Linked DNA regions of Sus scrofa. The protein of the gene in region 1 purifies or fractionates together with the protein of each later gene. This does not show direct contact. Links are inferred from orthologs where the notes say so. Each region holds a gene or a part of one and is shown in the gene's direction. Other genes may lie near its edges.

Region 1 (5,602 bases):
TCTCCTTGCCCAGGGTGGCCTGGCCCTAGGATAAAGACTTAGGGTGCTAGTGTTTTTAAATGAAAGGTCAAGACATATAAGACACCCGAGCCCAGGAGACAGGGTTCTCAAACGTCTTAATGCCGCATCTTTCCAGCTTTTCTAACAAATACGCATTTATCAAGAAACATCATCATTGAACGTTTGATTAAATTCATCCCACATTTATTTAGTCCTTTGAATGAGTTGAGTCTTTGGTTTTAGGCAATGCCAGCAGTCTTCAATTGGAGGGATTGCTTTGTAATTGTGTAGCCTTTCCACTTCTGAAATCGTTAAGCCTGCCCCAAGACTTGCCACACCCTGTCTACTGTGCCCTTAGGGTGGGTTTGAGCTGGCTCTAGTTTATAGCCCCTCCCTCCCACCACAGACTCAAGTATTTCCCCCCCTGGGCTGGATAAGCTCCTGACAGACCTGATCTTCTTAGCGGGCGGGCGGGAGGCCACCCTGCCCCTCTTCGAGATCAAGTATAAAAACGCAGCCCTGGCTCCGAGAATCCAGAGGAAGGCACTGTGAGACTGGGCTCTGACTCTCTGCGAGCCACCCATTCTACCTTAAAAAAATAAACCAACAGATTTCTAAATGTGAACATCTGCCACAAAAGACCAAGTGAGAGGGTTGGAGGGAGAGGTGTTCTTCCCACGGATGTGACCGCGTGTGGCTAATCCCCAGAGGAAAACGTGTTTCTCACATATTCCGGGCATCTTTTCGGTCAACATCTCTGGCTTCTTTCAGTTGATAGACGTAGTTTCCAGCTTGTCCCCCCGACCTTCCATCGCAGACTGCAGCTCCCTTCGGCATCTCAACGCTTGCCTTCCTCCTGTCCCCTCTCCCCTCCATCAAGACACAGAATAGACCCAGAAATGAGGGTTGGAAAGCTCTAGGCCATAGCTTCCATTTGACAGGTATTTTTTTCATTGTGGAACCTCGTTATGGAAGTACATTTTAAGTTTTGCAGCAGACAATTTGGCTCATCTTTGCAGCTGCTTCTGCCTTGTGTGTACAGTGACAGTCCATTTCTTGGTGACTGATGGTTTACGCTCCTGCTTAGGCCACAGTGCCCCTAGCGGCTGGTTCCTTCACCGTTGCGGTGTGGGCTCGTCTTCTGTCCTTTGTTCTCCTTGAGGGGGCGCTGGCTGCTCCTGACGCCTGCTGGTAACCGCCCCCATCAGTTCCCGTCCTGGCTCAGTTGTGGCCCAGCGGGTTAAGAATCCGTCTAGTATCCATGGGGATGTAGGTTTGATCCCTGGCCTGGCTCAGTGGGTTAAGGATCCAGCGTTGCTGTGAGCTGTGGTGTAGGTCGTAGTAGACTTGGCTTGCATCTGGCGTGGCTGTGGCCTAGGCCGGTGACTGCAGCCTGTGGTCTTGTCCGTGTGGCTCCCAGAACAGCCAGGTTTGCTTTCCTCTGGATTCCCTGCTAGGCTGTAGCTGATCACGTGTCCTCTCCTGCTAACCTACCCATGGTGAGCAGAGGAAGGGGTCCTGGGGTCAGGGGCCTGAGTTTTGTATGTAAAACAAAGTTTTTCCAGGTAAACTGCCCTCCAGCAGGGCCCCTGGGTGCAAGAGGCCTCCAGGAGAGACCCCCAGGGCGGGTCTTCTTTCACCCTGCAGCTGCAGCCAAGGAGGTACATTTCCATTCAAGGCGGAGTGCGTGGAAACAGCCCTGATCCTTGCTGCACTGTGCCCTCTGCGGCAGAGCCTCAGAGCCGGGGAGGGGGGTGGGGGAGATGGTGAATTCACGCAGGAGAATTCTCCACCAACTCATTCGTGCTGAAGCATCCACAGATGAAGTCCTAGCCTGAGACAGGTTATACTGTATCAGTTTACTTGATCCTGACCTTCGTGGTGGGGAAGCAAGTGCTGGGCCGGACGGTTGTTCTCCATACTTACAATGCAAAACGACAGCCGTCTTTCAGAACAAAGTGGTCGGGAGATGGCGTAACCCTGGAAATGTCCCCTGGCTTCTGGCATGCTTTCAGATGAAGTCATGTTTTGCTGAGCACACCTGTCTCCGTGAAACTTCTGAATGGGAGTTATGTGTATGTGAGGGCCCCCTTAGCCACGGGGCAGCGCTCGGGAGCCCTGGGTTTGGGGCGCCCTCCAGTGACCCAGCGCCCGGCCTAGGGACACCTGGATGTGAGCCAGTAAGGGGCCATAGCCATGCCCGTCCAGTCAAACCGAGGGGAGCGTCCTGCTCTAACACCTGTGGAGACATTGTTAGGCCTCTGTGGATGCTTTTTGTGCAGTTATTTTTAGGCCTCTTCTCCACTTTTAAACCTCCCCGTTTGCTGTGTCCTTATTGTATTTGGGGGCCTGAAATAGTCCGCAGCACATACCTCGGGGCATTAGAGAGAAAGAGGACACGTGTGTGCCCTTCAAGTTACTGGAAAAGGCAGGAGATTTCACTTGACGCGCCCCCAATGCTTCATCTCCAGCGCCAGCCCACAAAGTGTAAGTCCTGGTTCTGCCCCTGTGCCACCTTGGGTCAGTTACTTAACCTCTCTGAGTCCCAGGACCTCGTGTAAGGTGTGAGCCTCGGTAGTCCCTCCCTCAGGGGTTGCTGCGAGGGTTAAATTGGTTGGTTAGTGCTTGTTAAGCTCTTAGACTAGGGCCCGGCATGAATTACTTCACACACACAAGTGTTAGCCATGTTGTTGATAATTTTACTTGCTGTGGTGGTGGAGTTTTATGTGGATTGCTGTTCAACTTTGGTTCTGTTCTGGTGTTATTTTCCGATGAAAAGTTAGCTGTGTGAATCATATATTTTGGAATAGAAGTTTCAGATTGCAATGATAATTACCTTTTTTCCTTTTTAATTTTTTTTTTCCCTAGAACAAGACTTAAAACCTGTCTTGGATAAGAAATATTTAATCAATCATTTAGCTAAAAATGGTATTTTTTACATGCAATGCATGCGGTGAATCAGTGAAGAAAATACAAGTGGAAAAGCATGTGGCTCTTTGCAGAAACTGTGAATGTCTTTCCTGCATCGACTGCGGTCAAGACTTCTGGTGAGTTCCAGAGGGTTCGTGTAGCTCCATGGTCAAGGTCCAGGCCAGTTTGGAAGCCCTGGACCCACAAAGCATTAAAAAAAAGTGGAGGCAAACTTGAGGAAAGAAATGAAGGGAAAAAATTACAAGTGCCTTACAAGACCATTTGCTTTTAAGGGTGATTTACAGAGATGACTCGGGTTCGTTTGGAGATCTGGTCGGCCGGTGGCACTTGCTGTCATTTCCCTGCGGCCCTCCAGATCCAGGGAGGGGACCACGTGGAGTAAGGTTTCAGGGTTTCAGGGCATGGTGTGGCGATCGCAGCCGAGAGATGGACGTGCAGACCAGAAAATGAGTTTATTCAATCATTAAATCATGAGAGAGGAGACCAGGTCCTCCCGAGAAAATTGGAGGTCGTGTTGGCCGGGAGTGCGTGGGGGGCTCTGGCTGAGGGGTCTTGGGGAGGGGCCAGGTCTTGCTCTTGTTTGGGGGGGCCATTTGCTGATGGCTCGCCTCCCTCTCGTGCGGGTTCCTTCCAGCTTCAGAGGATTCGGGGATGGCAGCCTCTGGGGCACGTGGGGGATGTTTGCTAAGAGTCCCTTTAAGTTCATTGTAAAGCAGTGATTTTTTTTTTTTTAAGTTTGGAAACTACTAAGGTCTTTGTTCATCCCTGATCGTAGGCGGAGGGTGGGGAAGACAAGTGAACACAGGGTTGGTTTTCGTCGGGGGCTTTGGCCTCAGCCTTGTCCCAGCATTTCCCAGAGGATGGCACAGAGCTTCAGAAAGAGCGTGTGAGACAGAACCCAAGTTTCCTTTTGTCCCAAGACTCCAAGATCCAGGACTTTTTTGTGACCTGATATCACCGCCCTTTTAACTTACTCTGCAACTGGTATTGATTGCCTATCATATTGCCAGGAAATCCTACGGATTTTGTCATTTAAGATAACGCCACCCTATTGCCTATCAGTGATTTTAACACCTTTGTATATGAAAATGGGTGGCAAGTTTGGTGACGGGTTTGGAACAGTGGGGAGGAAGGAAACTGGTATGACCAAGAGGTTATCTGCCTGGTACGTGACAGAGATGGGGGGCCGGGCCGCGCACAGATGGGAAGGTGAGCTGCACGGCAGAAGGGCAGCATGCTTGCGCTGGACAGAGCCTCTGGTTTGAGGATCACTAATGGTGGGACTTTGACACTTTAAGGGGTGACGACTACAAAAACCATGTGAAATGCATAAGTGAAGATCAGAAGTATGGCGGCAAAGGGTATGAAGGCAAAACCCACAAAGGCGACGCTAAGCAGCAGGCGTGGCTTCAGGTAAGGTCTTTCTAATGCCTCAAGTAGCTTCATCTGTCATCTTCTACTTTCCTTGGAAGCCTAAGAAATGAGGAAAAATGTATCATTTAGAATGGATAAGCAATGAGGTCCTCCTGCATAGCACAGGGAACTATATCCAGTCGCTTGGGATAGACCCTGATGGAAGATGATATAAGAAAAGGAATGTATTGAGTTCCCATTGTGGCTCAGCGGTTAACGAATCTGACTAGGAACCATGAGGTTGCGGGTTCGATCCCTGGCCTTGCTCAGTGGGTTAAGGATCCGGCGTTGCCATGAGCTGTGGTGTGGGTCACAGACACGGCTCAGATCCCGAGTTACTGTGGCTCCGGCGTAGGCCGGCAGCTACAGCTCTGATTAGACCCCTAGTCTGGGAGCCTCCATATGCCGCTGGAGCGGCCCCAGAAAAGGCAAAAAGACAAAAAAAAAGAAAAAAGGAATGTATGTATATGTGTGACTGGATCACTTTGCTGTACAGCAGAAGTTGGCACAACATTGCAAATCAACTATAATTTATCATCCGTGTATCATGCCTCAGGATAGTTCTTTTTTGTTTGTTTGTTTTTTTAGGGCTGAACCCATGGCATATGGAAGTTCCCAGGCTAGGGTCGAATCCAAGCTGCAGCTGGCGGCCTACACCACAGCCACAGCGATGCCAGATCCAAGCCTACGTCTGTGACCTACACCACAGCTCACGGCAACACCGGCTCTTTAACCCACTGAGCAAGGCCAGGGATCGAACCGGAGTCCTCATGGATACTAGTCAGATTCATTTCCACTGCGCCACAATGGGAACTCCCAGGATGGAGTTCTTTATTCCTCTTTCAGTACAGGTGCAGTGTATTTTGTCTTTGTTGCACACGTTTTGCTGATTTCTTGCAAAAATGTTTCCAAATTGTCACTAACTTTCCCTTGGCAATGGAACAGACACTTCTTAATCCGCACCTGCGTCTGATGGCGGTGCACCTTTTATCACTCAAACCCTGTTAATCCGGACGTCTGACAGTCATCAGAATCCGGCAACATAAAGACTTTTCCTAAGTATGAGGAATTTTCCATTTCTAAAACAAAATGAAAACATACAGTGAAAGTGGCGAAAGCAATGAAATCCGTGATTTACTAAGAGGTATAACTTCCAGAATGTTACTTACCATATACAAAATAGTAACTGGAGGAAAGATTCAGAAGGGAAGGCAGGAGAATGAAAAGACAAATGCTATCTGTGTAGAAATTCTGTATT
Region 2 (6,374 bases), on another chromosome or scaffold:
CGTCTGGGACGCACCTGCCGTGGCGGCTCCGGTGGTGAGCGTTGCTACTGCTGGCAAATGAGTCCGTTCCTGCTGTTTCCTCGCACGTCCTGTCCTGTGAGAATTTCTGGCCAATGAATCGAGGCTCCAGCATCAAACTCTCTTTTCCCCAGTGGAGCCTGGTGGGATTTACCGGAGCAGCCTGGCTCCCTCTGCGACCCTCCCTCCAGAACAGCGGCCCTGTGACTCCGGGAGGGCGCAGCTCACCAGAGAACAACACGATGCTGAGACCCGGGTACTGTTTGTCACCGCAGCACACAGACTGGTAAGTAAATATTATGTTTGTAACTCGGAGCGAAGAGTGGTGAGGTCACGTAGCTTGCTCTTGCTGCACGAGTCAGTGTCAGGCTGGCACAGACGCTTTAAATGTCCACTCTTTGGGAAACTGAGATTTTGCTAGAACCTCATGCTTTCCTCATGCGGAGCGTCACAGCCAGTAGTTGACTTGTGCCAACAACATCCTGTCCTCAGAACCTAGGTTCTTGCCTTTTTCACCCTGAAGGTGGGCAGCTCAGCCTGCTTTCTTTAACCCCGAGAGCTCAGGCGTCTGTTCGACATGGAGCTTGTGAGTCTCTGGGTGTCGCGCAGAATGTTCATCTCAAGAGATTCTGCCTGTCGATGGTTAGAATCATTTGGAAATTAATCATGTGAGCATAAGTACACAGATTCCAAAACTTTTGTTATCACCTTGTGTTGGCTCTTAGAAAAGAGCCTGAGGATCTTCAGCAAACCTCAGGTTCCTAGACAAGCAAACAAACACCGGAGCTCCGGTCGTGGCGCAGTGGTTAACGAATCCGACTGGGAACCATGAGGTTGCGGGTTCGATCCCTGCCCTTGCTCAGTGGGTTAAGGATCCGGCGTTGCCGTGAGCTGTGGTGTAGGTCGCAGACGCGGCTCGGATCCCGCGTTGCTGTGGCTCTGGCCTAGGCTGGTGGCTGCAGCTCCGATTCGACCCCTAACCTGGGAACCTCCATGTGCCGAAGGAGCGGCCCAAGAAACAGCAAAAAGACAAAAAAAAAGAAGAGGAAGAAAGTGGAGCCTCGGACCTTTGAAGGAGAGGCTCCCTCCCACCGCACAGCAAGAAGGCACTGTCTGCGAGCCTGGAAAAGGGCCCTCAGCAGAGGGCGGCCCTGCCGGCACCCTGAACGTGGACTTCCAGGCTCCAGAGCTGGGAGGAGCGACCACAGTGGTTTCAGCCGCCCCGTCGGTGGTGTTCAGCTCCAGCAGCCCAGGCTCAGACGCCACATCACGGCATTAGGGTGATTCCTCTTCTCCCGAGTGTCCGGTGTCTCGTTGAAGGAGAACCGCAACCTCGAACCTTTCACCTCTTTGCCCTTCGGTGGGTGCTCTTCATGAGCAGCCACTTCAGCAAACACACACAGGCAGACCCCCGAGCAGCCACTTCAGCAAACACACACAGGCAGACCCCCGGCGGGCGGACCTGCGCGCGTCCCCAGTCACGGTGGCACTGCCAACCTAGGTGGCGGCAGAGAGCGCCCCCAGCCCGCCGAGCGAGAGCAGCACGGGGGTGGGATGGGGGGGGTGGGGGTTGTGGGGGTGAGCGGCCCCGGCCCCCGTGTCGCTGCAGCAGTTTTCAGCCGTGGGGCTTGCCGTCGGAAGCTCAGGGCCGCTGGCTGGGAGGCACGTCGGAGGACCGCAGCCCCAGGCCACTCCCGATTCAGGCTGGCAGGTAGCGCCGGCCGGGGTGGGGTCGCGAGCGCGGACCCAGACGCGCGGGGCGACGCGTCCCTCCTCCGCAGCCGACTCCGCCCGCGCCCATCAGTCGCGCTGACAAGGGGACCGGCGGCAGGAGCGCTCAAAGCGCAGACCCGCGCGCCCCCTGCCTTCCGCTCACCCCGCCAGCGGCCGTCACCCCGACCCCGAGACCCCCGGGACCCTGAGTTCCGAGACCCTGGGCCCCCTAAGGCTCCCGGGGTCCCCCGAGCCTTCCAAACACCTCTGACCACCCCCTCGACACTCGCAGGCTCCCGGGACCCCCGGGACCCCCCGAGCCGGGCCAGACAGGGCTCGCGGCCGGGCCTTGAGCCCAACAGCCGCCGGGCCTCCAGGGAGGCCTCTCAGGACCCGCTCCTTTAGCGGCAGGAAGGAGCTTCGGCGCCGCCTCTCCCCACCGAACGTGCCCCGCCTCCCGCGCTCCCTCAGTCCCCCGGCCCCGCGACCCTCCTCCGGCCGGGAGGGGGCGCCGAGCAACGGCGAGACCATCCGTCGGCACAGGGGGAGCCCGGAAGTGACGCGCAGCCGGCGGAAGTCCCGTCCGCCCGGGCGGAAGTCCCGCCCTCGCCGCCCACCCTGGCGGAAGTCCGGACCGCTGTCCCTCGTGGCTAGTCGCAGGCATGGCGCATTACAACTTCAAGAAGATTACGGTGGTGCCGTCCGCGAAGGTAGGCGGCCCTGGGGTCTTCTGCCCTCGCCTTTCTTGGCCGGGGCGCGGGAAAGTGGGGCGGGCGGTCTGTAATGCTGAACAGAGAGAGGTCGACTTCCCCCCCCACCCAGGCCCCCTTCTTAGGCCGTGTTCTCTCGGAATTAGGGCCCCCAGGTTAGGGTCCCGCCAGAGGTGGGGGTCCTTCCCCAGAGGTTTGGGCCCCCTGGGGGTTAGGGTCCTCCATCAGACCTTAGGGTTCCTCCAGAGAAGACGGAGAGTCAGGGAGAACGTCAATGGAGCCTGTAGCTTTTGAACTGGTCCCTAAGGATTCGTAGACAGCCAGGTGGAGGAGGGGTGGAGGTCCCTCCCGGTGCTCCTGACATTATTGCAGGAATTTGTCTGCTCGTGTCTGTCAGTAATCACCTTACATCCCTTAGGAAATAAATAGTGGCTTTTGGTTTTACCTGTTTATCTTATGCACTTTCAAAGCCAAAGGTGTGCAAGTTGAAATAGAACTGTTTCTCTTTTTAAAAGAAAGTTTCGCCTTTTAATTTCATTTTATTTTAAAGTTCTCTTTATGGTTAGGATTACAAAAAAAAAAATAGTTCCTCTAAAACTTGAGATACTTAAAATTGTAGAGCGAAAGTCCAGCTCACTATACATCACCCACTTTTTTTGGCTTTCATTAGTAGATTCAGTCGGTGTTTATAAAATTGCATTCTAACCATTCACTTAAATATTTTTTTCCCATTGGTCATGAAGTATTTGAGACCAGCTATCATGTCTTATTCAGCTATTATATTCCTTGTGGTTTGTTTTTTGTTTTTTTTTGTTTTTTGTTTTTTTTTTTTGCTTTTTAGGGCCACACCTGTGGCCAGTGGAAGTTCACAGGCAAGGGGATGAATCAGAGCTGTAGCTGCTGCCCTACACAACAGCTCAGGGCAACGCCAGATCCTTAACCCACTGAGCAAGGCCAGGGATTGAACCAGAATCCTCATGGATTCTAGTCGGATTCACTTCCGCTGTGCCACAACAGGAACTCCTAATAAACTCCTAGAGCTGGGTCAGGGATCCAGCACTGCCATGAGCTGTGGTGTAGGTTGCAGATGGGGCTCGGATCTGGCGTTGCTGTGGCTGTGGTGTAGTCCATCAGCTGCAGCTCCGATTCAACCCCTAACCTGGGAACCTCCATATGCCACGGACGTAGTAATGTGTATATATCGGTTCCAACCCCCAATTTATCCCTTCCCCCCACCTTTCCCCTTTGGTAAACATAATTTTGGCTTTGACATCTTTGAGTCTGTTTTTGTTTTGTAAGTTCTCTTGTATCATTTTTATTAGATTCCACATATTATTGATCTTATGTATTTGTCACTCTATTTCTCTCATTGATCTCAATTATTTTAAGATATTTTTTCTGATTTATGCTTGAGTAGTTTGGCTACTTAAAGTTTCAGGGGTTCTTAGGTATTTGGAAATTAGGATAATGTCAGGTAAGCATGGGATAAAATTTATTTTAGCAGCTGTTTGCTGACTGTTTCTTAAAGACCAGGAACTATGAAGATCAGCAAGGTTTTATGTTGAAAATTTAGTTGGGAAAATGGTTTGTGATTTAAAATATATAGTATTATTATGGAGTTCCCATCGTGGCGCAGCAGAAACGAATCCAACTAGGAACCATGAGGTTGCAGGTTTGATTCCTGGCCTCGCTCAGTGGGTTAAGGATCTGGCATTGCTGTGAGCTATGATATAAGTTGCAGATGGGGCTCGGATCTGGCATTGCTGTGGTGTAGGCCAGTGGCTACAGCTCCAATTAGACCCCTAGCCTGGGAACCTCCGTATGCCACGGGTGTGACCCTAAAAAGACGAAAAGACCAAAAAATAGGAGTTCCTGTTGTGGCGCAGTGGTTAACAAATCCTACTAGGAACCATGAGGTTGCGGGTTAGATCCCTGGCCTTGCTCAGTGGGTTAAGGATCCAGCGTTGCCCTGAGCTTCGGTGTAGGTCGAAGACGCAGCTCGAATCCTGCGTTGCTATGGCTCTGGTGTAGGCCGGTAGCTACGGCTCCGATTCGACCCCTAGCCTGGGAATCTCCATATGCTGCGGGAGCAGCCCTAGAAAAGGTAAAAAGACAAAAAAAAAAAAAACCAAAAAAAATAAAATGAAACATACAGCATCATTAAATTTTAATCTTTTAGGACAGTTTCACGTAAGTGGATGAAAGTAGACTTTTTGGTGTAACTGTGTCTTACTTTATTTAATTGCAGGACTTTATTGACCTGACATTGTCGAAGACTCAACGAAAGACTCCAACGGTTATTCATAAACATTACCAGATCCATCGCATCAGACATTTTTATATGAGGAAAGTCAAGTTTACTCAGCAGAATTACCATGACAGACTCTCGCAGATTCTGACGGATTTCCCCAAATTGGATGTACGTGACCGAGGGTCATAAGCGATTATGTAAATGTGAACCCTCAGACTGTCAGGATTAAACCAGGCTGGGTGCTCATTTGACAGATAACAAAGGAAGGAGGAAACGATGGATCTGTCGGAGGAGTTCACCTGCTGAGTTAGTGGCAGACCTCGGAACTGAACACAGGTCCTTTGGTTCCCCGTCTAACTCCATCTGAGGCCCAGAGCCTGGTCTCAAGGCTTTGTAACCTCTGAGTTTATGGGGTTCGGCTGAGCTCTCTAAAAGCTATGGGCCCAAAGCCCGCAGTGCTGTGGTCTCACTGGCTTGTCTGCTTCCCCTGCCCCCTTTTTCCAAGGCTCCTTTTCCTGTGGCCTCAAGTTGGGACAGTGGCCTGAGGCTCACCAGCATTTGTGATCTTGTTGCTTCATCACCTAATGGCAGCCAGTGTGCTTTCTTTTTTCAAAAAAAAAATTCATGGTTGCACCCGTGGCATGTAGACATTCCTGGGCCAGGATTGAATCTGAACCACAGCTGAGACCTGTGCCACAGCTGCAGCCATGCCAGGTCTTTAACCTACTGTGCTGGGCTGGGGATAGATTTTTTTTTTTTTTTTTCCTGAGGCATGTGGAAGTTCCCAGGGGAGAGATCAAATCTGAGCTGCAGCTGCCGGACTGCGCCACAGCCACGGCAACGCCAGATTGAAACTGCGTCTGCGACCTACACCACAGCTCACGGCCATGGGGGATCCTTAACCCACTGAGCGAGGCCAGGGATCAAATCCACATCCTCATGGATACTAGTCAGGACGAGCCCACTGAGCCACTCCTGCAGTGAGGTGCTGCAGTGGGAATTCCTTCAAGTATTTTTCACACATAGGAATGAGACACTCCTGTGCCAAAATGACCGCTTTGTTTTTCTTTGTAGGATATTCATCCATTTTATGCTGATCTGATGAACATTCTGTATGACAAGGATCATTACAAATTGGCTCTAGGACAGATAAACATTGCCAAAAATTTAGTGGACAAGTAAGATTTTTTTTTTATACAGTAGCTTTTAAATTACTGTCAAAAATGAAAAAATCTTATGTATTTCTTCCTCTTTCTTTCAGTGTTGCTAAAGATTATGTGCGGCTCATGAAATACGGTGATTCTCTGTACCGCTGCAAGCAGCTGAAGCGCGCTGCCCTCGGGCGAATGTGCACTATTATCAAAAGACAGAAGCAGAGTTTGGAGTATTTGGAACAAGGTACTTGATGGACACCAGCAAAAAGGGTTTTAGTGCATCCTTTTCGGGTATTTGATACTTGGCAAAAAGTTATTTTTTATTTTTTTTGCTGTACCCACAGCATACAGAAATTCCCAGGCTGGGGGCCTAACCTGTGCCACAGCCATGACCTGAGCCATAGCAGTGACTATGCTGGATCCTTAACCATTAGGCCACCAGGGAACTCTGAGAAATTATTTTAAAAATGTTTATTTTTGGAGTTCCCGTCGTGGCTCAGTGGTTAATGAATCCAACTAGGAACCATG
Region 3 (6,160 bases), on another chromosome or scaffold:
AGGCAGCCCTTCACTCAGAAGGACCCAGCCCCAACCCCTGCCCACCACTCCCACCAGCCGCTGTGACCCCCATGAGCAGTGTCCTCGCCACCGTGGACAGCAGCGGCTCGGTGCTGCTTCTCACCTCCTCTCTCAACAGCTCCTTTGGCTCTGGACACTTGTCCCCAAGCACCGGGGTTCTACTCAGCAACCTAGTGGCCAAGTCTGCAACTAGTGCCTGGGCGTGTCCCCTCATCCTTCGTGGTAGCCCAGATGACCCAGAGACCGATGTGTTGGGGCTGGTGGCTTCAGGGACCCCCACAGTGACCAGAGTCATGTCTCACGCCCTGCTCAGCCACCTGGCCAGGCCCCAAACCCAGGCTCAGCACCCGCACCAGACCCAGCAAGGACCAACAGGGAGCCTCAGAGCTTGTGGCCACGCAACCCTACTCCAGGTGGCAGCCCACTCAGAGCACTCCCATGTCTCCAGTGTCCCCGGGGGCTGCTGCCCCTTCCAGGGGTTTTAAGGAGGGGGCAGTGTTGGGCAGGTGGGAGTCTCCAACCTGGAGGCAGGGGCAGAGCAGGCCCAGCAGCGATGGTGTGCATAAAGAGCATGCATGGCGTGTGCACTCACTGATGGCTCAGGACCTGGTCAGTTGCCTGGACTCGAGTTCCAAATCTTTTATCAGCTACGGAGCCTAAGGACGATGAGGAACGAATACCAGGGCTAGCGTTTGGATCCAGTCTGGGTAGGACAGGTGGGAGAATGCCATGCCCCAATGCCCCCATGCCCCCAGCCTGGGCTCTGAGCCCCTGGGCAGAGCAGACAGAGCCTGGGCATTGCTGGCATGTCCATTCTCCCCTTCAGGCCACAGCTGCTAATCTCCCTCGAGAGGGCTGGGAACAAAATAAAGATCAAGTCTCCTGGCTCTCATGTGCCCTTCCTGCTGCTTGGTTAATTTCACATCAGCTTTTGAGGTGCCTGTGGTCCAGGCTTCGCCCACAGATGCAGAGCTGGTGCCTGGTGATTTTTTGCTCCCCCCCTGTTCTGCTTACCTTCTGCCTCCTGAGGCACCATGTGTACAAAGTAAACTGCTTATTCACATTTTCTTTTTTTTCTTTTTGTCTTTTTGCCTTTTCTAGGGCTGCTCCCGCAGCATATGGACGTTCCCAGGCTAGAGGTCAAATCGGAGCTGCAGCTGCCGGCCTACGCCAGAGCCACAGCAACGTGGGATCCGAGCAGCGTCTGCAACCTACACCACAGCTCACGGCAACACCGGATCCCCAACCCACCGAGCAAGGCCAGGGATCGAACCTGCAACCTCATGGTTCCTAGTCAGATTCGTTAACCGCTAGCACCACAAAGGAAACTCCCAACTGCTTATTCACATTTTCTGAAACAGACAGCAGAGGGAGGGGTTGAGAGGGTGAGTAGGAGGTGCCCCGGGGGCCACAAAAGGGGCCGGATCTGGGTAGCCAAGGCCCTCCCCTCCCTGCCTCCCTAAGGGCTGGGGTCTCTCTGAACTATAACCCTCTAGAGACAGCTTGTCAAGCCAAGAAATAGGGGTGGCCAGTAGCTCTCCTCTCCTGCACTGTAAACGGTATCTCTGATCTAAGAGGACTTTTGATCCCACCACCTCTCCCTCCTTGCTCCCCCCACAAACACTAGTTCCCCCAGCTCAGTAAATGATATCACAGTCTACCCACTTTCTTTGTTTTTCTTTTTTTAGGGGCCACACCTCCAGAATATGGAAGTTCCCAGGACAGGGGTCAAATCGGAGGGAGCTGCAGCTGCCGGTCTACATCACAGCCACAGCAACGTCAGATCCAAGATGTGTCTGTGACTTAAAGCCTCCGCTTTCGGCAACACCAGATCCTTAACCCATTGGATGAGGCCAGGGACCAAACCTGCATCCTCACGGATATTAGTCAGATTCTTAAGCCACTGAGCTACAAGGGGAACTCTCACAATCTACCCACTTATTTTGGCCCCAAACCTATCATCCTTCTCTTTTTCATCACCTTCTACCAGCTCCAAATTAGCTGGAATTTTCTCATATTACCTTGGTCCAATCCACCACTGTGCAACTGGTCTTCCTGCTTCCACCCCTGCTCTCCTGCAATCCATCCCCCACACAAAGAAGACTAGTCTGCTAAAAGTATGGATAGGATCAAGACTTGTCCCTGCATAAAACCCTCCAATGACTTCCTATTACAATCAGAATAAAATCCAAACTCCTGAGCTCCCTGAGTGAGCGCGGAAGGGCCCAGCCGCCCCCGGCCCGGCCCGGCCCCGCCCTTTCCCCCGCCCCCAACCGGCTCCGCCCCCAGCCGACCCAACCCAGTGCGCACGCGCCGCGACCTGACCCGGAAGAGGCAGTCTTCAGGTCCCACGTGTTCCACGAGCATGGCGGAGACGGAGAGTATGGACGTCGCTGAGCCTGTGTCTCCGGTGGAGGTCCCGAAGACGGGCGCCGGGCCTGCCGACCGTCATGGTCTGCTGAAGCACAGCCGCGAGTTCTTGGACTTCTTCTGGGACATTGCGAAGCCGCAGCAGGAGACGCGGCTTGAGGCCACGGAGAAGCTGCTGGAGTATCTGCGCGCAAGGCCAAAGGTGTGGTGGCGGGGCCTGGGGCAGGAATCTGCGGGGCTTGGGGGCAGGAAGCTGCGTAGATCCCGGCAAAAATATGGCGGCGGGCCCCAGGACTCGGGACTGGGGTCATGGAGTCGCGAACCTGGAGGCCGAGGCGAATGCGCGCCGAAGCGCGAGGATGGGCGGGTGCCTGACGCGTCTTTTCCCTGGTGCACCTGGGGATGTGCTTGGTTCCTCAGGGATCGTCCGAGATGAAGTACGCCCTGAAGCGCCTAATCACCGGGCTCGGGGTCGGACGTGAAACAGCCCGGCCCTGCTACAGTCTGGCCCTAGCACAGGTGAGGTGGTGGCTCCCTGGAGGAGGCCAGCCATCCTACTCGGAGCGGTGGGGAGTGAGGAGGGCAGATACGGGGGAAGTGGCTGCTGAGAGGTTGTTGGGGTGGCGTCGGAGCTAATGGAGGGTGTCCCCACGTGGACGTGGAGAGAGTGTGTGAGCAAGATCTTTCTGCAGAGACGCCCAGGCAGGTGGAGTGGGAGGGTGAGTTTGCTTTTGAGTACATGGGTTCACCAACCACCAAGGTACATTTACTGTGGGCAGTAAGCTTTGGAGTGGGTTCACTTACCTTTTTAGGGTTCAGGGTCCGCCCCCCCCACTTGGCTAATTATAGGCCACCCAGTCCTTGTGGATCAGCCTGGGGGGAGCTCAGCAGGCTCTGGGGCAGAATGTCTCGGGGATCTCGGGGCACAGTCCAGGGGCTAAAGGAAGTACTTTCTGAAACAGGGAGGCAAGATTTCTCTCCATTCACTGCAGTGTTCCATCGTCAGCACTGCCCAGCATGGGGTGGGGCGTAGGCAGCTTTTGAGGCGTCCTTTGGATGGGAGCAGGGGCCCATGGACTCTGGGCAGAAGTTGAAGGGAGAAGTGGGAGGAGGTTGAGGTCTGAGGGATGTGGCTGGGCCGCTCCCCTGAGCCCCTCTCTTCCTCCTGGCAGCTGTTACAGTCTTTTGAAGACATCCCTCTCTGCAGCATCTTGCAGCAGATACAGGAGAAGTATAACCTGCAGAAGGTGAAGAAGGTGAGAATTAGTGGCCCCAGGGAAGTCGGCAGCCCCGGGGTGGGGAGCGCTTGGGCCCTTCTCACCAGTGCCTGGAATCCTTTTCCAGGGGATGATGAGACCAGCTCTCTTTGCAAACCTGTTTGGGGTGCTAGCCCTCTTTCAGTCAGGCAGGCTGGTGAAGGTAAGAGCCTTGGGGATCCCAGGGCGCGTGTGGACTAGCTTGGGAGTTGGAGGAGTGGCAGAGCCCTGTTGACACCCTGTCCCCTTCTGGGGGGGTCCCAGGACTCGGAGGTGCTGATGAAGTCGGTGAAGCTGCTGCAAGTCCTGGCTCAGCACTACAACCACCTGCAGGAGCAGCCCCAGAAGGCCCTGGTGGACATCCTTTCTGAGGTACTGGCTCACCAGCTTTGGGGCCTCTGATTGATAGCGCAGCCTGTTCCAGAACGTGGGGAAGACTCAAGTTAATGCCTGGAAGCAGGACTGTCCACAGATACATAAATGTGCACTGTGACACTTTGTAGTAACTAAGTTTAAAAAGTAAAAAGAAACAAGTATAGTTGAGTAGCATGTTTTATTTAACCTAGTATATCTGCAGTATCACTTTAGTCTGTAATCGGTATAAAAAGTTACAGAGGAGTCGTTCCAGTGTCCTGGCTCAGTGGAAATGAATCCAACTAGGAACCATGAGGGTGCAGGTTTGGTCCCTGGCCTTGCTCAGTGGGTTAAGGATCCGGCATTGCTGTGAGTTGTGGTGTAGGCTGGCAGGTGTAGCTCCAATTAGACCCCGAGCCTGGGAATCTCCATATGCTGCGGGTGTGGCCCTAAAAATACAAAGGACAAAAAAAAAAAAAAAGGTACGGAGGTAGTTGAGGAGTTCCCACCATGGCACAGAGGATTAAGAATCTGGCTGTAGCAGCTCGAGTTCCTGCGGAGGTGCAGGTTTGTTCCCCAGCCCGGTGCAGTGGATTAAAAGACCTGGCTTGCCACAGCTGTGGCTCGGTTTCAATCCCTGGCATGGGAACTTCCATATGCCACACACAGATGGCGGCCATAAAATTTTTTTCGAAAAAGATCTATAGGCCAGTAGCTGCAGCTCCATTTTGACCCCTGGCCCGGGAACAGCCCTTAAAAAAAGAAAAAAGCTGTAGAGGTATTTTATGGTTCCTCTCATGTTAAGTCTCCAAAACCCGGTATGCATTTTACACTGACAGCACGTGTCCATTCAGAATAGCGAATTCTAAGTGCTGTGTCCATGTGGGGCCAGTGGCTGCCATATTGGGTAGCAAGAGGGTGAAACCTGTTGGCCATTATTGTCTGGGTCGGAGCTGGCCCCTTCGGGGGGTCCCCACCACTCTGCTTGGGAAATGGAGGCGGACTAGGACCTAGAATCCTTTGCTGTTGGGGAAGAGGCAGGGACTGGCACGTCCCAGGCCAAGGCTTTCTTTACAGCCCCAGCCACAGAGCCAGAAGGACCCGGAGTTCGAATCCCAACTCTTCACTTGGAGCTCCTTGTATAAGAAGCAAGCTGGTCCTGGGAGTTCCCTGGTGGTTTAGTGGTTAGGACTTGGTGCTTTCACAAAGATCCTGCACCAAGCCGCTGTATGCCGCAGCCAGGGAGAAAGGAAGGAGGGAAGAAAAGGAAGAGGCTAATCCTGAAAGACTCAAAAGAGGAATGATCAAAAGGGCACACCTGGGCCAGTGAGCGCCAGAGAGGAGCTCGTTTAAACCTAGCTTCTGGGGCTTGGGGATTTGAGCTTTTTTAACAGATACCCTCTGGTCATGGTGTCTGATAGGTAGTTGTGACTGTTCCTCCTTGGGCTGGCACTGTACCAGGGGCCTTGTGGGAGCTGGGCAGGTGGAATGGGACCCAAAGGGCTCTCCCTGCAGGGGGAGGGACCAAGGGTGCCATGAGGGAGCCCCTCTCCCTCAACCAGTCCCCCCCACACCAGGTCCCTGAGGCCGTGTTGCAGGAGGTGCTGCCGAAGGTCCTCAAGACCGAGCTGAGTTCAGTTCTCGGCTCCCCTGAGCACCTGGAGCTGTTCCTCTTGGCCCAGCAGAAGGTGCCCAAGAAGCTGGAGAAGCTGATGGGACCGGTCAACCTGTTCTCAGATGAGAACATCCCCAGGTGCGAGGGAGCTGGCGGGTGGGCCCTCCAGCTTGGCTTCGTGCCACCGCCTGGGGGGAGGCTGTCCCCACGGCCCCGGGAGCCTGGCCCTGAGTTCCCTCTGCCATCTTCCACAGGCTGGTGACTGTGCTGAAGATGGCGGCCACCTCTGTGAAGAAGGAGCGCAAGCTGCCCGCCGTGGCTCTGGACCTGCTCCGCCTGGCGCTCCAGGAGGACAAGTTCCCATGGTTCTGGAAAGAGGTGGTGGAGCAGGGGCTGCTGAAGAAGCAGTTCTGGCCAGCCAGGTGTGTGGGCGCTTGGCCTCGCTCCGTCGCCTTGCCGCTGCTCGCTAAGCGAGGGCGGGCTGGCATCTGAGGTCCCCCCTGGGGCGCCCGAGGGCTCTGACCGGGCTTTCCTGTGCCCCCTT
Region 4 (6,273 bases), on another chromosome or scaffold:
GATCCCTAATCGCGTCAGAAAGGAGTTAATTTCTGGAACTTTTCAGTCGTAAAAGTACGAAAACCTCCTGCCCAACGAGGAAGGGGAGAAAGAAGAGCTGCTGCCAGATGCCCTGAGAGCTGGCGCCCCTTCCTCGGCACAAGCGCACAGGCGAGCCGGCTTCTCTGTCCGTGTCTGTCTCCCCAGCGTCATCGGGAAAACGCTAAGGGCAGCTCCCGGCTCACTCACCGCGGCCGCGACCCGCAGGAGGCGAACCTGCGGAGACAGACGGCCGCCCGGCACCGACGGCTCGAGGTGGAGAAGACTCACTTTTTTCCAGCATCTTCAGCTTCTGGAAGCTCTCCAGCACGTCCCCGTTGAGTATCCGGGGCAGGAAGTCCCGAATCTGCATCACCTCGGTGGTCAGGCGCTCCAGGTCCTTCTTCCTCACCCTGACAAACTCTTCCTTCGCCCCCACGAGCTGAAAGAGCAAGCGCATGTTGGCACCAGCGCGCTGCTCCTCCGACGGCCCAGCCAGCCGGGCAGCGGCCGCGTCCTTCCGGAAAGCCTCGGGCTCCCGGCTGCTGGGAAAGCGCGGCTTCCCCGGAGGAGCCCTCGGCCCCGCAATTCCGCCTCCCGAGTTTAAGCCCCGGCCTCGAATCGGCCTCGAATCGCCAGCCGATTTTTGTGTGTCTTTTTAGGGCCACACCCGCGGCACAGGGAGGTTCCCAGGCGAGGGTCCAGTCAGAGCTGCAGCTGCCGGTCTACACCGCAGCCACGCAGGACCCGAGCTGCGTCTGCGGCCTACAACGCCGGCTCCTTAACCCACTGAGCGCGGCCAGGGACCGACCGCAACCTCGCGGTGATGAGCCGGCTTGGTTTCCGCTGCGCCACGACGGGACCTCCGAGCCACTTTGTCAGGGCGAGCGAGGCCCCATTCCCGAAGGCCAAGGAACACGCCGGCAGCGCTCTCCTAGGCGCCAGCACCAAGCTTCCCAGGAGGAAAGGCCCTTCCCCCTGGGCGCCAAGCCCCGGGCTGACCACCCGGCCCCGCACTCGCAACCCGCCAGGAGACGGGCCGGGAGGCTGGGATCTCCCTGAACGCAGCTCCAGGGCGCGGCCGGAGGGGAGCTCCCGCTGGGGCGGCCGATTCGCCCCGACCCGCGCCCCGCCTGCCCCGCCTGCCTCAGGGCCGTGCGGGGGGGGCCCCCGGGGGGCGGCGCAGGGGCACCGGGGCACGGCCCCCGCCCATCCCGCGGCCCCCGCGCTTCCGGAGGCGGAGCCGCCGCCCCCCACCGCCGGCCCTGGCCACGCTGCCCGCAGACGACGTCCGGGGCCTCCCCGAGCCCCCGAGCAAGGCCCAGGCAGACCCCGCTGAGCGCGGGGGAGCCGAGGGCAAGAGCGCGAACTCGCGGGCGGCGGCCCGCGCCTCGGCACCGACCCGAGCCTCGGCACTGACCCGGCGCGGCTCCTCAGCGCCGCCAGCCTCGCCCATGGCGGCGCGGTCTCGGCTCCGTGCGCCTGCGCGGGCGCGCACGCGCGGACCCCTCACGCCGGCGAGCGCGGGAACGCGTCCACGCCGGGGTCAGGTACGGGGAGCCGCGAGGCTCAGACCTCGTAGAGCTTTCGCTGCATCGCGGTCCCCACGGGCCGGGGGTGTGGAGGCGAGATCCCGCGTGGGCTCGTCCGGCTTTGGCCGAGGTCGTAACTTGTTAACTGCAAAGAAGAACAGGGAGACCCACGTGTCAGTGTCCAGTGAAATCACTCGATTCGGGTCCTTGATGTTTGGCGAGGGGTGTTATTTAGACTAAGGGGCCATGCGTTCACGCGAAGCAGCCGCCGGCGGCCCCTCTCGCGCGCTCAGCTCCAAACTCCATTCGCGAAGGTCGAAGCTTTCTGACAACAGGCTCCGCCGGCGGCGGCGGCGGTGTCTGCCCCAGATAAGGGAGCCTCAGTCCGGCCAGCAGGTTAAGGAACTGAGACGACCCCATGGACTGGGAGACATCGTTTGGTCCATTCACTAGCCCCCATATGCCCACTGAGTTCGTAACATATGGTGCAAGCTCTGGGTTCAAAGGTACCGGTTACGGGAGTTCCCGTGGTGGCTCGGTGGTTAACGAATCTGACTAGGAACCATGAGGTTGCAGGTTCGATCCCTGGCCTCGCCCAGTGGGTTAAGGATCTGGCGTGGCCGTGAGCTGTGGTGTGGGTCCAAGACGCAGCTCGACCCCGAGTTGCCATGACTGTGGTGTAGGCCGGCGGCCATAGCTCCCATTAAACCCCTAGCCGGCGAACCTCCATATGCCGTGGGTGCGACCCTGGAAAAATACAAAAACACCAAAGAAAAAAAAAGGTACCGATTATCGCACAACTAGGACTTCTGTCCAAAGCCGGACACAAGCCGACACTGTCCGAGTGCCCGGAGTACGCGCTCTCCAGGCCCGCGGGTGCACGCACCAGCACACGCACCCAGTCCTCGCCCCGGCTCCGGGCGCCCCTCCAGCGGGCTGCCCGCAACCTCCCGCCAGAACCCCGTTCCCACCGCGGCCCGAGGAGGCCAACGTAAAAACCCGGTGCCGTGTATCTCCCGGGAACAGCTGCGGGTCGGTTGGATGGAGATTTTGTGAAGTGGGCAAGATTCCAGACCACGCAAAACTGGCCCTCCGTCTCTTCCCGGCCTACACCCAGCGCTGGCTAACCTCGCCCTCAACGGCCCGAGCCTTGGCGACCGAGAGGCAGCGGCGGCGGCGGAGAGGCGCGACGCGCACCGGAGGAGCGTCGCTCCGCCGGGGCCCGGCCCGCAGCTCGCGGAACGCTCTGCGAGCGGCGAGCGGCGCCTTTGTGACGTCATCAGCCCGCGCGCCGGCGCCTTCTGCGCAGTCGCGGCACGGCGGCGGGCGCTCGGCGGCGGCGGGCTGCGGCCGGGGATGCTCCAACGGGCGCGATGGCCCCCGCCATGCAGCCGGCCGAGATCCAGTTCGCTCAACGGCTGGCGTCCCACGAGAAGGGCATCCGAGACCGGGCGGTGAAGAAGCTGCGCCAGTACATCAGCGTGAAGACACAGAGGGAGACAGGTGGGCTCCCTGCGGTCCGCCGCGCACATGGCGGCCGGGGTGGGGGAGCGGGGGTGAGGGGAGGGAGCCGCGGTGGGGGGGGGGTCCTGGCGGGAGTGGGGGGCGGGCCCGGGGAGCCGCGGGCGGAGCGGGGAGAGCGTGCGGCACAGCCGTGTGCTTCTCTGTGTCCACTTCCTGCGGGGTCTCCACCGGTTCTCCGGTTGAGCGGCGGCGGCGGAGGGGGTTAGGTGGTCCGCTGAGGGTCCCGGTGAGCCGGAAAGCCGAGAACCGTCCCAGTCTGCCCTCCCAGAGCTTGCACGTGGGATCAGTGCACTCACCTGTTTGATTCTGGTGCGCTCTTCCTTGAGTCACGCCTTCAGTTGACCAGGACGGAGAAGTCCGAATCCCTACCCCCGAGGAATTTATCCCGGGAAATCTGGCGGGGGGGGGGGGGAATAGATAACTGAAACGGAACTCGTGTAAGTGGAGTAAAGGAAATGAAAACCGAGGAACGGGGAAGCTCCTCTCCAAAGACTGTTGCAGGGAGGCCTCTCGGGGTGATGTTCTCCAGATCTGAGCCGGGGCACGAATGAGGAGCTGGAAGAGCGGTAAGTGAGAGAGAGGGAGGGTGTTAGGACGCGAGTTGGGAAAGTAGGCAGTGGCCAGGTCACAGCGGGCTCTTCAGTTTGGGTTTTAACTGCAGCGGGGTGCCATTGAGGAATCGTATTTACCCGGTCCGGTGTAAACCTTTGAAGGCATGGATTACAGTGCGGTGAAGTTTTTTATTGCACTGAGGAAAAGTCCGATTTGCTGCTAGTGTTAATACATTGAGTCTGTTTTAAAGAATGGATGTCTCCCCCTGTGCTGATCGCTCAGTTAGCCTTCTTTTGAAGGCTTCTGGGAAAAAGAAGATAAACTCTCCTGGGAAGTCCTAGGAAGAGGAACGAAGCCAGACTTCCTGACTTCAAATCTGTTAGGGTCTTCCTGACAGACTTGATTTCCTCTTATTCCATAAATGTTGTGTGTTCCTAAACCGAACTTTCTAACCCAGACCTTTGCTGCTTGCAGCTCAGATATGCCCTTCCCACCTGGCACCTCCACCTGGATGTCCTCAGGCTTCAGAATGCCCCACAGAGGCTCATCTTCTTCTGCTCTTTTATTTTGGGCACTAGTTCCCATCCTCCACTCAGACTCCAGTTGGACGCAGGGTATATGGTCCTGGACGCCTCTTCCTCTTTTTGTCCCCCAGCCCTGCATCTAGTGTCCTTTGGTCGCATCTCCTAAATTTCTCTGCCCTTACTGAAGGCTCCTCCATCTCATCGAGGCTTTGACACGCTTACCTCCTAACTGATCTAACACCTGCATGTGTGCCCCCTTAAACCCACGCTCCATGAAACAGCCTGGCGCATCTTCCTGAAACAACTGTATCACCACCTTCCTGAAGTTCTGGCCTTGCTGGTGGTGACATGTCCTCCTCTGTCCCCCACCTCAGCCCCTGTGCGGCTGCTTCACACTGGGTCCTGGGCTACCGTACACCATTCCTCCACACTCTCCCACTTTCGCCTCTGTTCACTCTGAAAAGCTCCCCCGCCCACTTGATCCACTCACAGCAGTCAGTCCAGTATCGCTTTTCTGAAATGCCTTCCCTGTCCTCTCCCCCCACTTCTCTACAAGTCTGAAGTGTCTGATATGTCCCCATTGTGGCACTTAGCTTATCTGCTGATGTGTCGTTCTTCCCCCAAAATGCCGTAAGCCTCTGTCTGCTTCCTTAGCTGGAAGCGGGAGCACATCCCGAGGTCCCAGGGCTGCCAGGGCACAAGAACAGGAACCAGATGCAGAAGCACAGGGCTGAGGCAGCCGGACAGGACCCGGTGCTCAAAGCTCTGTGGGGAACAGGCTCTGGCTCTGAAGTGCTGAGGTGCTGCGGGGGCAGGAGGCCAGGGCATGCAGCGGTGCCCAGGGTCCTGCCTGGCGAGCGCCCATCACACCTCAAGCTGCTTCCTGTTAGACACCACATCCGCAGTCTGGGGAGCCGAGTGGGCCTCGAGGAAGGTAAACGCAAAGTGCATGTCGTAGGAGCTCCCTCGCAGCTCAGCGGGTTAAGGATCCAGCGTTGTCGCTGCTGTGGCTCTCGCCACAGCTGCGGTTGGGTTCGGGCCCTGGCCAGTGAACCTCCAAGTGCCGCGGGCACAACCAAAACTAAATAAGGTTTCGTTGACGGTGATGACGGGACGAAATAAACAAGATCCGTGCCACAGCTGTGCTCCATCAGAGTAGAAACAGGTGTGGAGGTAACTTGGCCTGACCTCTGAGTCTCACTAACAGGCTTAAGTTTTTGTATTTTGTTTTAGGCACAGTAAAGGCAGTGCGAAATGGCAGTCTTACTGTCTTTTAGCAACATAGATAGCTTTGATTTTTAGAAACAAATTGGAGTTCCTGTCATGGCTCAGCGGAAGCGAATCTGAGTAGCATCCATGAGGACTTGGGGTCAATCTGTGGCCTCGCGCTCAGTGGGTTAAGGATCCAGCATTGCCTTGAGTTGTGGTGTAGGTCGCAGACACAGCTCAGATCTGGTGTTGCTTTGCCCCTAAAAGAAAAGACAAAGAATAAAAATTTTAAAAAATCAACAAGCAATTGATTTGCGGCCAGTCGAGCCGACTGCTCTTTTCTTCGTGGGGCCTGCAGACAGCAGCCGTCTTGGGAGGGTGTGCAGCCTGTTGCCTGTACGGTTGCCCTAAGGGGCCTTGGACACAGCACTTTCCAGTGGACCTTTGTGACTGACATGCTGTCCCCAACCCAGGCTTCAGACAGGTATGCGCGGTGGCCAGGTCCCCGTTGGCCCCGTCCTCACGTGCATTTCTGTGCCCGCTCTCTTGGGACCACATGGGATGATGCCCACCAGGCAGGGAGCATGGGCCTCCGCGAGGGCTTGGCCGTGGGAGGCACTTTCCATCGTACACGTTCACATAGTGTATGTTTTTTTTTTTTTTTTACAATAAAAACGTGTTCTTACTGGTTGGAACTTGATAGAGCATCCAAGCCTTGCTGGTTTTCAGGGAAAAATGGAAGCACAGCTTCACGCGGGAGCCCTATGGAGGCACACGACCCCGCTCTGCTTCCCCAGCGGTTCCGTTCTCACGGGCATCCACCTGGGTCATCTCTTCAGGTCTCCGGGGGGGGGCGGGTCTGGTCTCCCTAAGGGGGGCAAGAGGATCCTGGCCTGTGGCAGGTGACCATCTGT
Region 5 (5,602 bases), on another chromosome or scaffold:
ACAGCCACAGACAGCAATGCTGGATCCGAGCTACGTCTGAGACCTACACCTCAGCTTGTGGCAACGCCAGATCCTTAACCCACTGAGTGAGGCCAGGGATTGAACCCACATCCTCACGGACACCAGTTGCGCTCTCACCCCACTGAGCCACCAAGAGAACTCCTGGGTTTTTTAGTTTCCTCACCTTCACAGACTCGTAGCTTTCGGATTTTGTGGTGGGCCAGGTTTGATACTCCTTTTTAGGATTTTGTTCTCATCACATGTTGGTTTGTGTTGTCTCAGCTCATGGCTTTGGTTTCCCATGTTTGTCACTCTGGGTTTGCGTGTGTTGATTCCCACTGCTGTTCATCCAGTGGAAAAGTGAGGCGGGTGTGGATGCTCAGTTGCCGTCTCTAGTCAGAAGTCCTGGCCATCTGTGGGCGCCCTCCCTGAGCTCTGCCCCCGTGATACTTTCACCTAGCAGGCTAACTTTTGAGACTCCCCCCCTTTTTTTTTTCTTTTTTCTTTCGTTGTTTATTTTTGGCCCTGAAAATGCAAATTGCGTTGTACATAGAAGAGGAGGGGTGGGTCACGGGCTTGCCAGTTGGTGGATCTGCTGAGGTTCTCATCTCTGAAGACATTTCTTCGGTGGATGGTGTGCTTCTAAATCACTCGTTAACAAGCTGTTTCCTCCTGTTTCCCAGCCTACATTCTTTTAACCTTAAAACTTGCAAGAATAATTTTACACGAGTGACTGGGGAGCTGACTCATCTCTGATTTATTGATGGGTGTATGTATGCATCCCACTCCGACAAAGCAGGTGGTGCTCGTCTGGGCTTTAAATCACATTGTAGCTCTAGTTTTGTGCTGTATTCTTTATCTTAGCCAGGGAACACAGCCTGTTTGTCCCCAGGGATAGTCAGGCTGCGTGAAGGTGGTTTTTTTTTTTTTTTTTTCTGAACAGTTGCACACTGACAAGAAGCAGATCAGCGTGGGGTTCATCGGCTATCCCAATGTTGGCAAGAGCTCTGTGATAAACACGCTGCGCTCCAAGAAAGTTTGCAACGTGGCCCCCATCGCAGGTGAAACAAAGGTACATCTGGCTCCGAGGGTCTTACTTGCACATGTTTTATTTCCATGGAGGGTGATCATGCAGGATGTGGAGATTTCTATCTGCTTCTCCTGGATGAAGCTCACCATTGGGCCTTTAGGAGCGGTTTCTGCCCGTTGTGATAAGACTAAGAGTAGTTTGTGTGCCACGGCATGCCTTTGGCATGATGTGGTATGTGCCATTGGAGTCTATGTCAGATTGTCACTCCAGCCTTTTACTTTGATAAACAAAACTAACCCAAAGGAGTTCCCATCGTGGCACAGTGGAAACGAATCCGACTAGGAACTGTGAGGTTGTGGGTTCAATCCCTGGCCTTGCTCAGTGGGTTAAGGATTCAGTACTGCCGTGAGCTGTTGTGTAGGTTGCAGATGAGGCTTGGATCCAGAGTTGCTGTGGCTGTGGTGTAGGCCGGCAGCTGTAGCTCCGATTAGACCCCTAGCCTGGGAACCTCCATATGCCACTGGTGCAGGCCTAAAAAACAAACAAACATAAAAACTAATCCAGGAGTTCCCGTCGTGGCGCAGTGGTTAACGAATCCGACTAGGAACCATGAGGTTGCGGGTTCGGTCCCTGCCCTTGCTCAGTGGGTTAACGATCCAGCGTTGCCGTGAGCTGTGGTGTAGGTTGCAGACGCAGCTCGGATCCCGCGTTGCTGTGGCTCTGGCATAGGCTGGTGGCTACAGCTCCGATTCAACCCCTAGCCTGGGAACCTCCATATGCCGAGGGAGCGGCCCAAGAAATAACAACAACAAAAAAAAGACAAAAGACAAAGAAAAAACTAACCCAAAGATATTTGATGCCTGGGTTAAGAAAGAAAACGGCATTCTGGTGGATTTTGGCAAGTTGAGGGCCCTACCTGGGAACATGGAGTGTTTGGGGAGCGCCTGGTTCTGCTGAAAGAACAGGGGCCAAGCAGTGTCAGACATCCAGGAGTACTTTTCAGAATCAGAGAAAGCTTTGCTGGACGCGATTGCATGATTCTCTGTGGAGATCCTGCCTTTGCATCATTTCTAGTAACTGTAGTTTGTGCTTTGTGGAAGGGCCTCATGCATAGCACAGATAGAAGAGGGTCTTGGTCCCTGGGCAGGTTGCTACACACACACACACACACACACACACACACCTCCTCCCTGGGCAGGTTGCTACACACACACACACCTCCTCCCTGGGCAGGTTGCTACACACACACACACACACACACACACACACACACACACACACACCTCCTCCCTGGGCAGGTTGCTACACACACACACACACCTCCTCCCTGGGCAGGTTGCTACACACACACACACACACACACCTCCTCCCTGGGCAGGTTGCTACACACACACACACACACACCTCCTCCCTGACCCACACCCACCCCCCTGCCAGCCTCATCTTTCCTGCCTTAGGTCTGGCATTGTACACACACACACCGCAGCTTCATGCGCATCAGGCGTCAACCCTTCCCGCCTTAGGTCTGGCAGTATATCACCTTGATGCGGCGGATCTTCCTCATCGACTGTCCGGGTGTGGTCTACCCCTCCGAGGACTCAGAGACGGACATCGTGCTGAAAGGAGTCGTGAGTATTTTGGTCCCCAGAGGTTCTTTGTTTGCCTTTGGTGGCGGGGGGCGGGGGAGCATTCTGTGGGAGACGCTGGATACCTTTGCTTTGTACTCATTCAGCAGACAGTTTGGGGTCAGCCTGTCTGACCAAACTTGAGGAACATGACACTGAACAGGGCGGCCTCTCCATTCCACTTAAGCCTGTTTGAGGAGTTAGTGGAACCATGGGCATATCTGGTCAATGTCATCCCACAAAAGAGTTTGGAGTTTACACACGGGACCCAGAGGGAAGCAGGGCCTGTTTATGTTTAGCGATAATTCATCTTCGTGGGTTTATGGGTTGAGTCATGTTGGAACTCAGTCATTTCCTCACTTGTTTCTGAAGACGACCAAGCGCTTTAAATGGGTCCACTTAACCTTAACCGGGGCTTCTGGCTATACATCCTGTGCCCGTTCCTCCCCTCCTGTCTTAAACTATGCCATTCTCTCCGTGTCCTGGGACCAGCAGACTTTCAACCATTTCCGCGAGTTAGTAGCATGAAGCACCCCAAGTTGAAACTGCTTGCGGAAGCTGCACAGTTGGGTTGTGGTGCGCTGCGATTTGAGCTGAGTTCATGGTCCTGTGCCGGGGTCAGCTTTCTGTGGTGCTCCTTTCAGCCGACCGACCATCGTGCCACCTCGGTGACAGGCTCCTGCCAGGCCCCACTTGCTTTGAGGTGTTGAAATCTCTTTTCAGATGTTGTTACAGAGCACACTGGGGAGCTTCACTGCTTCCATAATAAAGTTTGTAAGCAAGAGATTTCCCATCAATGTCTAGGTTCAAGTTGAAAAAATTAAGACTCCTGAAGACCACATTGGTGCTGTACTTGAACGAGCAAAGCCAGAATATATCAGCAAGACGTACAAGATCGATTCTTGGGAGAATGCTGAGGACTTTCTTGAGAAGCTGGCTTTCCGGACAGGGAAGTTATTAAAGGTGAACCAGACTGAGAATTGTGAGAATTCAGACTGTGGCGAGCCGCAGGCACAGGGGGCGGCGGGGTGTGGAGGGGGGAGGTAAGGACCATTTTTTGATATGCATGTTTGAGGAGTTTGAAGTGTGGGACTTGGCAATAGATGGTGGTGAACAACTGGGACAGCCAGGATGCAGAAGTTCCCGGGCCAGGGATCAGACCTGTTCCACAGCGCGACGTTGCCATGTCCTTAACCACTAGGCCCGCAGGGAACTCTGATTATGCTGTTTGGATCTAATTGGGCATCTCCCTGTGACGTTTCAGGGTGGAGAGCCCGACCTGCGGACCGTGGGGAAGATGGTCCTCAATGACTGGCAGAGGGGCCGGATTCCTTTCTTTGTCAAGCCGCCCAATGCTGAGCCCCCGGCCACCCCCCAGGTAAGAACAGGGTGGACCTGCCTCTGGGAAAGCGAGGGCACCGACCTGGTGTGGTGTCTTTGGACTGCCGTCTCTTCCTCTGGGGTAGGTCTTTCCGCGCAGTGAGGTTTGCATGTCTTGGTTGCTGTGAACAGTGCTGCTCTGAACATAGGGCTGCATGCATCTTTGAATTGTAGTTGTGTCTGGATATGTGCCCAGGGATGGGATTGCAGGATCATATGGTAACTCTATTTTAGGAATATCTAAGTTTTCTGAGGGACTTCGGTCCTGTTTTCCATAGTAGCTGTTCGAAGTTACATTCCCACCCACAGTGTTGGAGGGTCCCTGTCTCCACACCTTCCCCAGCATTTCTTATTTGTTATTTGTGACAATGGCCATTTTTAATCATGGCCTTTCTGACTAGTATGGGGTGGTACCTCAGTTTTGATTTGCATTTCTCTAATAATTAGTGATTTGAGCATTTTTTTCATGTCTTTGGCCATCAAATACTTATTTTTATTTATACTGCAGGGAGACAGGTAGTAAACAAATAAGCGTATAGTGTCAGGAAATACCGATTGCTGTGAGGGCAACTAAGACAGGGCGAAGGATTTATGGGGGGCAAAGGAGGGCTTTTGTAAGCGGGGTGGTCAGGACGGCCTCTGAGAAGGAAGTGACCTTGCAGCGGAGACCTTAGTGATCTGAGGCAGGAGCCACATAGATGCGGAGGGGAGAGTGTTCCAGGCATCAGGAGCAGTGGACCCAGTGCACCTGAGGTGGAGCCAGTCTGACCTGTCTGGTTCTAGAAGAAGTCATGGGGCCGCCCCCTGGCGGGCTCGGGAGCACCGAGTGACGGCGGAAGCCTCTGGGTCTGAGGAGGCCCATCTCTGCTCCCTTGTGACGCTGTGTGGAAGCGGCAGAGTTTTCTCTAACTCTTGCTGTGTGTCTAGTCATTGGGGTTAGGTGACTAGCTCCCCCACTCTGTGACTCTTGCCTTTTGCTCTTGGTGGTGGCAGAAACCCCCTCGAGCATCCGAAAGCTATCACTACCAGCTTCTGCCCGCGAAATGGATGACAAGGCGCACACGAACTGTGTGTGCAATCTCCTGAGTTTCATGGCTTCCTTATGCATTCAGTGCTTTGAGCAGCCACCCCACCTTGGGGAAAAATTCCTTGAGTTCTGTGAGTCTCAGTTACGAGAATACAATGGGGAAGAATATTCATAATATTCTCGTAATATTAATATTATAAGAATATTCATAATATTCTCGTAATATTAATATTATGAGAATATTGCCTATGTGAAGCCGCAGTGCCAGGCCTGCTCACCCTTCCCTGAAGGGGAGGCCCCAGCTCTCAGCCTCTTTCTTACCCGTTCCCACCTCAGGGCTCATTCTCAGTCCTCCCGGGACGGCCCCTCCTTCACACCCTCCCTTCCCAGTGCCGCCTCAGTGCCTACCCTCAGCCTGTGGGGTGTACTCAGCCTGGCTGTGCTTTCCTTGGCAACCCCATTCCTCGCGATCCTCGGGGACATAGGGAATCTCGCCTCCTGCAGGGTGTCGTTGGTTGGTGTTGATGGTGAAATACTCTT

What was found.
Region 2: the proteins of LYAR (region 1) and GTPBP4 purify together in Homo sapiens (co-immunoprecipitation; 3 studies listed by BioGRID and IntAct, with this or other methods). This does not show direct contact. The link is inferred for Sus scrofa from reciprocal best matches to the Homo sapiens genes LYAR and GTPBP4.
Region 3: the proteins of LYAR (region 1) and MYBBP1A purify together in Homo sapiens (affinity purification with mass spectrometry; 3 studies listed by BioGRID and IntAct, with this or other methods). This does not show direct contact. The link is inferred for Sus scrofa from reciprocal best matches to the Homo sapiens genes LYAR and MYBBP1A.
Region 4: the proteins of LYAR (region 1) and RRP1B purify together in Homo sapiens (co-immunoprecipitation; 3 studies listed by IntAct, with this or other methods). This does not show direct contact. The link is inferred for Sus scrofa from reciprocal best matches to the Homo sapiens genes LYAR and RRP1B.
Region 5: the proteins of LYAR (region 1) and GNL2 purify together in Homo sapiens (affinity purification with mass spectrometry; 3 studies listed by BioGRID and IntAct, with this or other methods). This does not show direct contact. The link is inferred for Sus scrofa from reciprocal best matches to the Homo sapiens genes LYAR and GNL2.

What each region holds. Positions count from the first base shown.
Region 1 is NC_010450.4:6,083,597-6,089,198, forward strand, and holds part of LYAR (cell growth-regulating nucleolar protein), read left to right. Parts: intron 1-2,868; 5' UTR 2,869-2,925; coding exon 2,926-3,047; intron 3,048-4,229; coding exon 4,230-4,344; intron 4,345-5,602. UniProt on the Homo sapiens protein: Plays a role in the maintenance of the appropriate processing of 47S/45S pre-rRNA to 32S/30S pre-rRNAs and their subsequent processing to produce 18S and 28S rRNAs. Also acts at the level of transcription regulation.
Region 2 is NC_010452.4:68,561,960-68,568,333, reverse strand, and holds the start of GTPBP4 (nucleolar GTP-binding protein 1), read left to right. Parts: upstream 1-2,385; 5' UTR 2,386-2,393; coding exon 2,394-2,441; intron 2,442-4,689; coding exon 4,690-4,860; intron 4,861-5,766; coding exon 5,767-5,870; intron 5,871-5,953; coding exon 5,954-6,090; intron 6,091-6,374. Other genes in the region: uncharacterized protein LOC106505222, read left to right, coding at 153-304, 2,137-2,385. UniProt on the Homo sapiens protein: Involved in the biogenesis of the 60S ribosomal subunit. Acts as a TP53 repressor, preventing TP53 stabilization and cell cycle arrest.
Region 3 is NC_010454.4:50,502,254-50,508,413, reverse strand, and holds the start of MYBBP1A (myb-binding protein 1A), read left to right. Parts: upstream 1-2,337; 5' UTR 2,338-2,386; coding exon 2,387-2,593; intron 2,594-2,811; coding exon 2,812-2,910; intron 2,911-3,563; coding exon 3,564-3,647; intron 3,648-3,735; coding exon 3,736-3,810; intron 3,811-3,911; coding exon 3,912-4,019; intron 4,020-5,578; coding exon 5,579-5,754; intron 5,755-5,870; coding exon 5,871-6,038; intron 6,039-6,160. Other genes in the region: GGT6 (gamma-glutamyltransferase 6), read left to right, coding at 1-506. UniProt on the Homo sapiens protein: May activate or repress transcription via interactions with sequence specific DNA-binding proteins. Repression may be mediated at least in part by histone deacetylase activity (HDAC activity).
Region 4 is NC_010455.5:206,626,326-206,632,598, forward strand, and holds the start of RRP1B (ribosomal RNA processing protein 1 homolog B), read left to right. Parts: upstream 1-2,850; 5' UTR 2,851-2,923; coding exon 2,924-3,053; intron 3,054-6,273. Other genes in the region: HSF2BP (heat shock factor 2-binding protein), read right to left, coding at 310-460, 1,439-1,474. UniProt on the Homo sapiens protein: Positively regulates DNA damage-induced apoptosis by acting as a transcriptional coactivator of proapoptotic target genes of the transcriptional activator E2F1.
Region 5 is NC_010448.4:93,624,664-93,630,265, reverse strand, and holds part of GNL2 (nucleolar GTP-binding protein 2), read left to right. Parts: intron 1-943; coding exon 944-1,072; intron 1,073-2,553; coding exon 2,554-2,658; intron 2,659-3,459; coding exon 3,460-3,618; intron 3,619-3,919; coding exon 3,920-4,033; intron 4,034-5,602. UniProt on the Homo sapiens protein: GTPase that associates with pre-60S ribosomal subunits in the nucleolus and is required for their nuclear export and maturation.